Oreochromis niloticus: one gene and its partner. The protein of the gene in region 1 interacts with the protein of each later gene in a pairwise test. Links are inferred from orthologs where the notes say so. Each region holds a gene or a part of one and is shown on either strand. Other genes may lie near its edges.

Region 1 (3,753 bases):
CAAGGATTATAGACATATCGCAGCTGTCGGTTCCAATTTACAGCAGTGCTCATTTCCAGAAGAGGAAAAGATAACGTGCACAGATTCTGTCTGTTCGTGCGAATCATTTTTAGTTTAAACCGATGTGCGTGTGTGCACTTATCAGAGCAGACTGAATTACAAACTGCTTAATGAAATAAGTCCAAATTATCTGCAGCTGGATTGGCTGCCTCATATCACCCTGGAGTGTTTTCACTGTGTATGTGAAATACTCCTTCGCTTTCAAAGCATCATGACTCTTTCTCTACATGTTTGGGTGTCTGTGTGAGCAAATATTACCTTCGTGGGACTTTCTCTCCTCCCCCCTCGGTGTGGTTCTCTTCCCCCTCTCCCTGCATGTCTGGCACCGCTGCAACAAGGTCTTTTAAAAAATCAAACTGCTGCTCCAGCTCAATGCATTGCTTTCTGTGAATAAATATGAACAGTTTTCTCCTCAGCCTTACTTGCCAAGTGAAATGTAAGCTCGTATCAAAAAGACAGCAAGCTTAATGGTGTACATACTCATTTTAGCAACACATACAGTCTGAGTCACAGGGAAAGATTGTTTTGGCGGGCTCTGTCTTACACAGGCCAGAAATACTTTCAGATACAAGGGATTCGGCAATGTGCTGCAAATGTGCTCCACAGCACTATCAGGCTCCCACCACACAGTAAATCATGCTGTGTAACAGGATGCCATTTTTTTTGCAAAAGCGGCTCATAATAATTTTCCTTACTTATTTATTTATTTATCTTTTTGCAATGTATAGGGCCAGTCCTTGTCAGTTCATCAAATGCTTTCTCACCTCACCATCTTACCTGAAAAAACATTCCAGGTGGAGGATACACATCCTAAATAGGAATCGTAGAAAGTTTCAGGTCCTGGCTGTTATTAGCTTTCTCAAAAATATTTCAAGGGATGATATTTCCAGGTTTTTAGACATTTTCCAATATCATTTTTGAGGGGCTATTTTAATATGACATTATCTACTTTAAAGTGTTTTAGGCAATTTTTTCTTAGGAAGATGAGAAAGAAAAAAAATTATGCTAGGGAATTATTCAAAAACACTCCTATTTTCAACATTTCACTGAGGATTATTTTCTTGAGTAAACTAATGACTGTGAAGACCTGAAATTTTGCACAATTCCCATTTTGTGAAATTTGATTGAATGAGATGAAAGAACTTTGTACTGTTAAAACTAATCAGAAGAAAACTGACTTAAAATAAGTGTATTGTGTATATTATGAATAATCGTTATTTTTAAATGTGAATCAAGCAAAGCTACTTTAGTAAAGTCCAAGAATGAAATTATCGAGCTGGAAGTTCACCATGAGTCCACTTTAAAAATAAAGAAAATAAAGGCCTGACAGCATTTCAGCCACACTCAATAAAAACAAATACAATTCTATATAAACAACTTTCCCCTTTTCTTCAACTACCTCTTTCTGACCCTAATATACCTGAACAGCATATATCTGAACAGCAGATGGCTTTGCCTTCCTAAGAAGTTCATCTCCAACACAATGCAACACAATGAAGACAAACACAGAACTTACAGATGTGCCGTTGTCATTGTCTTTGCATTCCTAGATTGGGTGACTTGACAAGCCTTTGTAAGCAACGACTCCAAAAAAAGCTCCAGGGCTCTCGCTGATATCTTGGATAAGGGAAGTACAGTGAAGCAGTTGTGTGTTTGAACTTTAAAATCATCAAACATGCAATAATAGACAACTTGACACAACAACACAACAGACTGAGGAAGCATTTTTCTCTAATTATTAATCAGTCTTTGACTTTTACAATTTATCATTCAAGACAAAACTTGCACAGTGACGACTGCAGGCAGAAAGGATACATATAATAACAGGCACTGCTGCAGCCACTTTGCCTATTTCTTCATCTGTCTGCATAATCTTCTTAATCCTTGCCTGAAATGAGAAAAGGTCGATTTTTATGCATGTGTCTACAGAAACGCTTAAAATTTTCTTTTCCTTAAAAAAAAAATCATTTTCAGTGAAAACGCACTGAAATTCAGGGACAACTTAGTAAAGAGTTTGCAGTACACCACATCGAATAATGTGAGGTCCCCACAAAGTAACGGCAATCATTCCTTTTACACTAGTCACGTAGTGTGAGGATTGTAGATACATTATGCAGCTTATTATAATAAAGAATGGATTTATTCACATTTATTTGCGTGCCGCTTAGCCTAGCTTGAGATGCTAAAAACAACGTCAATTAGTAGACCAACTTAAATAGCACGCCTGCTATGTGTGTACACCACCAACTAATGACATATAGGGGATGTTTGGTCACTAACTTCATGAAATCAACTACTTTTCACTAAGGCACGTGCTTTGTAAACTAAATGGTTTGCGAGTGTTAGATGGCTTGTCTGCTCTCTAAGCAACAAAAGAGGCCGAATTCCACTTAAGCTAGTTACAGAACTTAGCTTTCCATGTTACACTTTGCTAACGTTAGCTTGCTTTGACACCGGCTCAGCACAGTTTAAACTTACCGGAGGAAATCTGGCGTTGTATTTCTTCTTTTTGCTGGGCATAATTAAATTACCTGGGTGGCTAAACTAAACTAAAATACAATATATGCTATATTCGTATTCTATTTCATACAGAAATTCGCCTCCACCGCGCACACACCAGATAGTGGTGGCTATCCGGCTAACTAGTTAGCACGTCGTCTTCGTCACTCGTTCCTCGGTGCGGTCAGTTTGTTTCCGCAGGGTCTCCGTGCCGTCAGGTTGGAGCGCATGTTGTTCCGCAAATGCAAAGAAACGAAATACTTTAACGATAGTAATGGAACAGGTTTATTTTTTAAAGCTTAACAAACACAAACACTGATGTAGGAAACTTACATATTTAACATGTACACATACCGAGGAACATGCAAGTTTCTTAAAAGTCGCTGAATCTAGTACAACATAACTTATTTTTATAATTATGTTATAGCAAAACGTAAAAATATATATTTATATCATGTGTTCCATACGGTCGAATTTGTGGACGAGGTACGAAATTTAATTGATGTATAAATAATTATTAGTTAAACTGTCAGCCACCTGAGTGGACTTTGGCTCTTAGATACGGAGGAGCTGCTGTGCTTATGCGGAAGATCAACACTGAACAACAAACTTGGACATCTACGGGTAGAGTAAGCCTTTATGTTCAAAGTTTAACATCGACGTGCGATTATTTACGTTTTAAATGGGAAAACTGTGAATGTTAAAGCGTCAGTTGTATTCAACAGCTGGCTAGAAATGGTTAATGTTTCTCTAAAAGGACGAGCGTGTACATTTATAAAGACTAGCTTGTCGGCTAGCTACAACAAGGCTAAAGCAGTCAGAAAGCTGTTCTACGTGTTCTTTGACATGTCAGCTGTAGGCGGTACACTGGGGTCGATAGCAGCTTTAGTGTGAAACAGAATCAGTGGTAGAGAAACGCTAACTTTCGCTGTTGTAGCAGGCTAGCTATTAGCATTCATAAGCAATTCAGTTGTCCACTTCTGTCGAAGTTTGGCAGGGTTGTAAGCTAATAAATCACAGCAAAGGGGTTGTAAGCTAACACAGAGGCTAAACCAGTGGTTTTTATAAAAATAATAACTGCATTCTTCAACTCAACAGGAAGGCTTCAGAACTTGTTTACTCGTGTAACTGCTATACCATTATGGAGGAAGAAGAGGGCCCTGTTGATGGCGAGATGAGGACCCCCTTTGCTGC
Region 2 (3,753 bases), on another chromosome or scaffold:
AATCATTGGACATCCTCTTCCCTCCCTGAAGGACCTGTACAGCACTATTGTACTAGGTATGACTGTGCAATGACAATAAAGAGTGATCTCTTATCTCTAACCCTGGTTCTCAAAGTAGCATGAGTGAGATATCTCAGCAGACAGCCCTTCTTGCTGGGCAAAGCTTTCAGTTATTGTAATAGTGAAAGCTATTTAAAGGGGGCCAGGATGAAAGTGAAACTGAGGAGGTTAAGAATCTCTTTGAGCTCAACTCCAGATCCTCCTGTTCACGTCCCCTAACTAAATAAAGACCCCCAAATTTCCTGATGTATCCATCCATGCGAACACTTAGAATAACATACTGTATGAAGCCGTTATTGTTTCCGTTTCCTTTCAAATAACCAAGGCGATCAGCTTTACCTTAGCCCACATGTTACCTATCTTAAAGAACTAAAACTAATGCAGAGCATCAGCCGTATGCATTTCTCTTCCCTTCATCCCTCACAAACCTTTCCAGTCTGAGGAACAGCATTCTTCATGATGCGAGCCACATTAGCAATGGGAAGATATATGTCCTGTTCCCTGTAGTTCTCCTTACTGCTGCCGTCTTCATGGTCATTCAGATTCTCATCTCCATCATCTATAAAACACACACAGAGTCAGCTCTATGAGAACAAAGCCAAAAAGCACTTCAGTGAAGATGATGATTTTCTACTGACACTTTGTTTTTTCCTTACCTTCCTGAGGCTGGAGAACATAGTGACTGGAAGCCATGTACTCTCCAGTGATGCCCAGCTGGGAGGCGTCGGTGGTCGAGCTGTCTCCGTCCATCTGCAATACCACACAGCTGGCTTAGTTATTTGGATCTGTAGCACTACAGTAAACCCGTGAAGCCTGACTGTAGCCAGCTTCTTAGAGCCACACCTTAGGAATGATCTGAGTTATTTAGAAGGGTCCCTGCAAGCATGCTCCTCAAGGAAGGAGAAGATGTTTTCCTTTGGGACCACCACATGCTGTTTTACTATGCTCTGAGCTATGAAGCAGAATAAATAATGACAGCTTGCTGTTTTTCTCCGAAGCTACACTGTGACGCCAACACTCCGACTGACCTAGAGATGTCTGACATGGGCCAACACAAAAGAAAGTGCAGCTATGACCTGTTAACAAACCATTCATCCATTTTATTTATTGATCTTTTGTTTGACAGTAGCAGAACCACTGTTGTATCGAGTAGGGTAAGGTGTTGTTTAAATGAAAACAGAACTTTTAAAGTTTGAAGAAATAATTTTTTTAAATGGATCATGACAATGATCAGTGTTGACTGATTTGAGCATTTTTATCCTAATGTTTTAGGCCACATGTCAAGCCCTGCGATCAACAGCGAAACGTGCATCAAGGGTTGACCTAACAAGTGAAAGATCCCGGTTCGATCCCAGAAGGAGACAAATCCCTTTGGGGTTGTGTCAGGAAGGGCATTAAAAATAATACCAAGTAAAAGATGCAGTTACTGTAGCGACTCTTTGTAAATAAGGGGGCAGCTAAAAGTAGCTTTAATTTTTTGCAGGTTAGGACAGTTTAATTTTTTTTCCCTTTTAATACGTATGAATTAACGAGGTCCTTCAGTTATTCAATCAACTGGTAAGCTAAAGGCAAAGGCTACTTTATTATAACATCGCATCTATCAGGGAGAGAAGGCCATCACAATGTTTTTATAGCGTAATACGAAGTCATCCAACATTTCGGTGTACACTAAATATCGGTAGCTCTTACTGGGTGGAGATAACCTAGCCGTTAATAGTGCGCCAAACGTGTTTTGTGTTGTCACCGAATCCTGATACATGCGTGTGTTTTTGTTTTCCAGCAGACGGACTTGGCGGGTTTGTTGCTATTGTGTCCTGATGCTTGTTTTAGAGGGTTTATCATCAACCTGGGTTTCTACTAACGGCTAGCTTGGTTAAGTAGTGCACTTTGGTGCTCAGACATATTTTCTGACATGTATAACGAGGAATGCCACAATAACAGCGCTCCCTCATACTGTGCGCACTTTTATATCGGCCTGTGTGTTTACACTGAGAAATGTTTAACTTGGCATGACACAGCTAGCTACCCACTGGAACTGTTAGCATTTATCTGAAAGGGAAAACGTAAAACAGCTGTAAGCCAACGGTGAGGCCAGCTTACGTTAGCCACATGCTAAATACACTGGCATGTGTTTGGCTACCGTGTGGTAAGTAGCGGTTATCAGTCGCAGCTGTGACATTTTTAGCTAATGTTAGCTAATGTTAACCCGGGGATGAAGTTAGCCCGTGGGCTCGCCAATATTGGGGAAACCAGTGCTTTTAACGTAATGAAGAGAAGCTTTCCAGTGGGCTGTTACCTTCAGTAGTTAACCTATTCAGGCACACAGTGTCCCTTGAATACATTCTCACTGCAAATCCAACGCAATTCGCGTCCGCCTTGGCCTGTTCTTTGTGGTGCACAGCATAGCAAGACGTGACCGGGGCCGAAATGTTTAGTAGTCATTTTTAAACTTTCACCCGCTGGATACTTCCTGATGAGCAGCCCTCGTTCACCCAGACAACAAATAAAAAAATCAGACAGAGACGGACATTTCCATTCGAGCTAACGAGAAATCGGTTAGCAATCATTGGCCGGAGCCAGGAACAAACCTGCAATGAAGCCCTGGTTGGTTACCTTCCTGAGACGGCTGTTTGGTTGGACAGAAAATGGCTGCAAAAGGACCAGTCCCAGCGCGGAGCCGCGGCTGCACTACCCCATCTCAACAGTAGAGGCCCGTGCTGCGTTCAGGACCTTCAGTACCGCACAAGCCCAAATCTACATAGGAATGGTAGTTGGTACTGTTATCGAAATGTATGTCCAAGTAACATAAACGAAGTAGAAAACTCTTACATCGTTAGATAAAGTACACATTAGATATAATGTAATATCACAGAAAATGTAATTTTCTTTCGGTTTTATTAGTTCCTACATTTACGGCAGCAAGTTAACGCATCTTGTAGCGCGTGGATATCCAGACAACGTCTACGCAGTGTTGCCAACTTAGCGACTTTGTCGCTATATTTAGCGAGTTTTCAGACCCCCTTAGCGACTTTTTTTTCTAAAAAGCGACTAGCGACAAATCTGGCGACTTTTTCTGGTGTTATTGGAGACTTATTTATGATGACTTTTTGACGTGAAAGCGCGTATCACTCTTACTGTTAACAAGCAGCGGTGCTGCCGTGGGCACCTTACCCGTGCCAAAGCACTCACAGGCGGAGGATAGTCCTCCCCCAGCTGCTATCAGGGCAGGACATGTTCACACCTATGCGTCCAAACTGCAAATGAATCGTGCATGAGCGAAGCCGCTGCTCCCACACTGACTGTAACGCAGTCAGATCTTATTTTACTGTTATGCTGTTTTGTGGATCACAAGTTTTAAAACTACTTATAAACACACACACACACACACACAGTAACTCCACCAGAGTGCCGATTTCGGGTCACTTTTGCCGGTCCAAGCCCGGATAAAGGAGCAGGGTTGGAATTGTGACATTAAAAAACAATAATTGCAAAAAGAAATTTAATTTGTAGTTCTAAATAAATTCTAAATGCATTTAGGACGTTTTATACTGACTTTATGTCTCTTCCACGATGTTATTTCTCTCTCCAACAGGTTACAATTACATTAGCATGACCAATTATGCAAATTAGGCGTTGACGTCATTTAGCGACTTCTAGCGACTTTTAGGACAGCCAATAGCGATTTTCCTTACT

What was found. The genes of interacting proteins can lie anywhere in the genome.
Region 2: the proteins of drap1 (region 1) and nfyba interact in binary tests that used the Homo sapiens proteins (3 or more experiments, as listed by UniProt). The two-hybrid records come from large-scale screens. The link is inferred for Oreochromis niloticus from reciprocal best matches to the Homo sapiens genes DRAP1 and NFYB.

What each region holds. Positions count from the first base shown.
Region 1 is NC_031967.2:4,881,862-4,885,614, reverse strand, and holds the start of drap1 (dr1-associated corepressor), read right to left. Parts: upstream 2,729-3,753; 5' UTR 2,581-2,728; coding exon 2,539-2,580; intron 1,949-2,538; coding exon 1,876-1,948; intron 1,671-1,875; coding exon 1,577-1,670; intron 445-1,576; coding exon 319-444; intron 1-318. Other genes in the region: lg3h11orf68 (UPF0696 protein C11orf68 homolog), read left to right, coding at 3,701-3,753. UniProt on the Homo sapiens protein: The association of the DR1/DRAP1 heterodimer with TBP results in a functional repression of both activated and basal transcription of class II genes.
Region 2 is NC_031981.2:37,510,777-37,514,529, reverse strand, and holds the start of nfyba (nuclear transcription factor Y, beta a), read right to left. Parts: upstream 2,650-3,753; 5' UTR 2,628-2,649; coding exon 2,517-2,627; intron 2,508-2,516; exon of another isoform or gene 2,357-2,507; intron 2,207-2,356; exon of another isoform or gene 904-2,206; intron 811-903; coding exon 717-810; intron 620-716; coding exon 489-619; intron 483-488; exon of another isoform or gene 1-482. UniProt on the Homo sapiens protein: Component of the sequence-specific heterotrimeric transcription factor (NF-Y) which specifically recognizes a 5'-CCAAT-3' box motif found in the promoters of its target genes.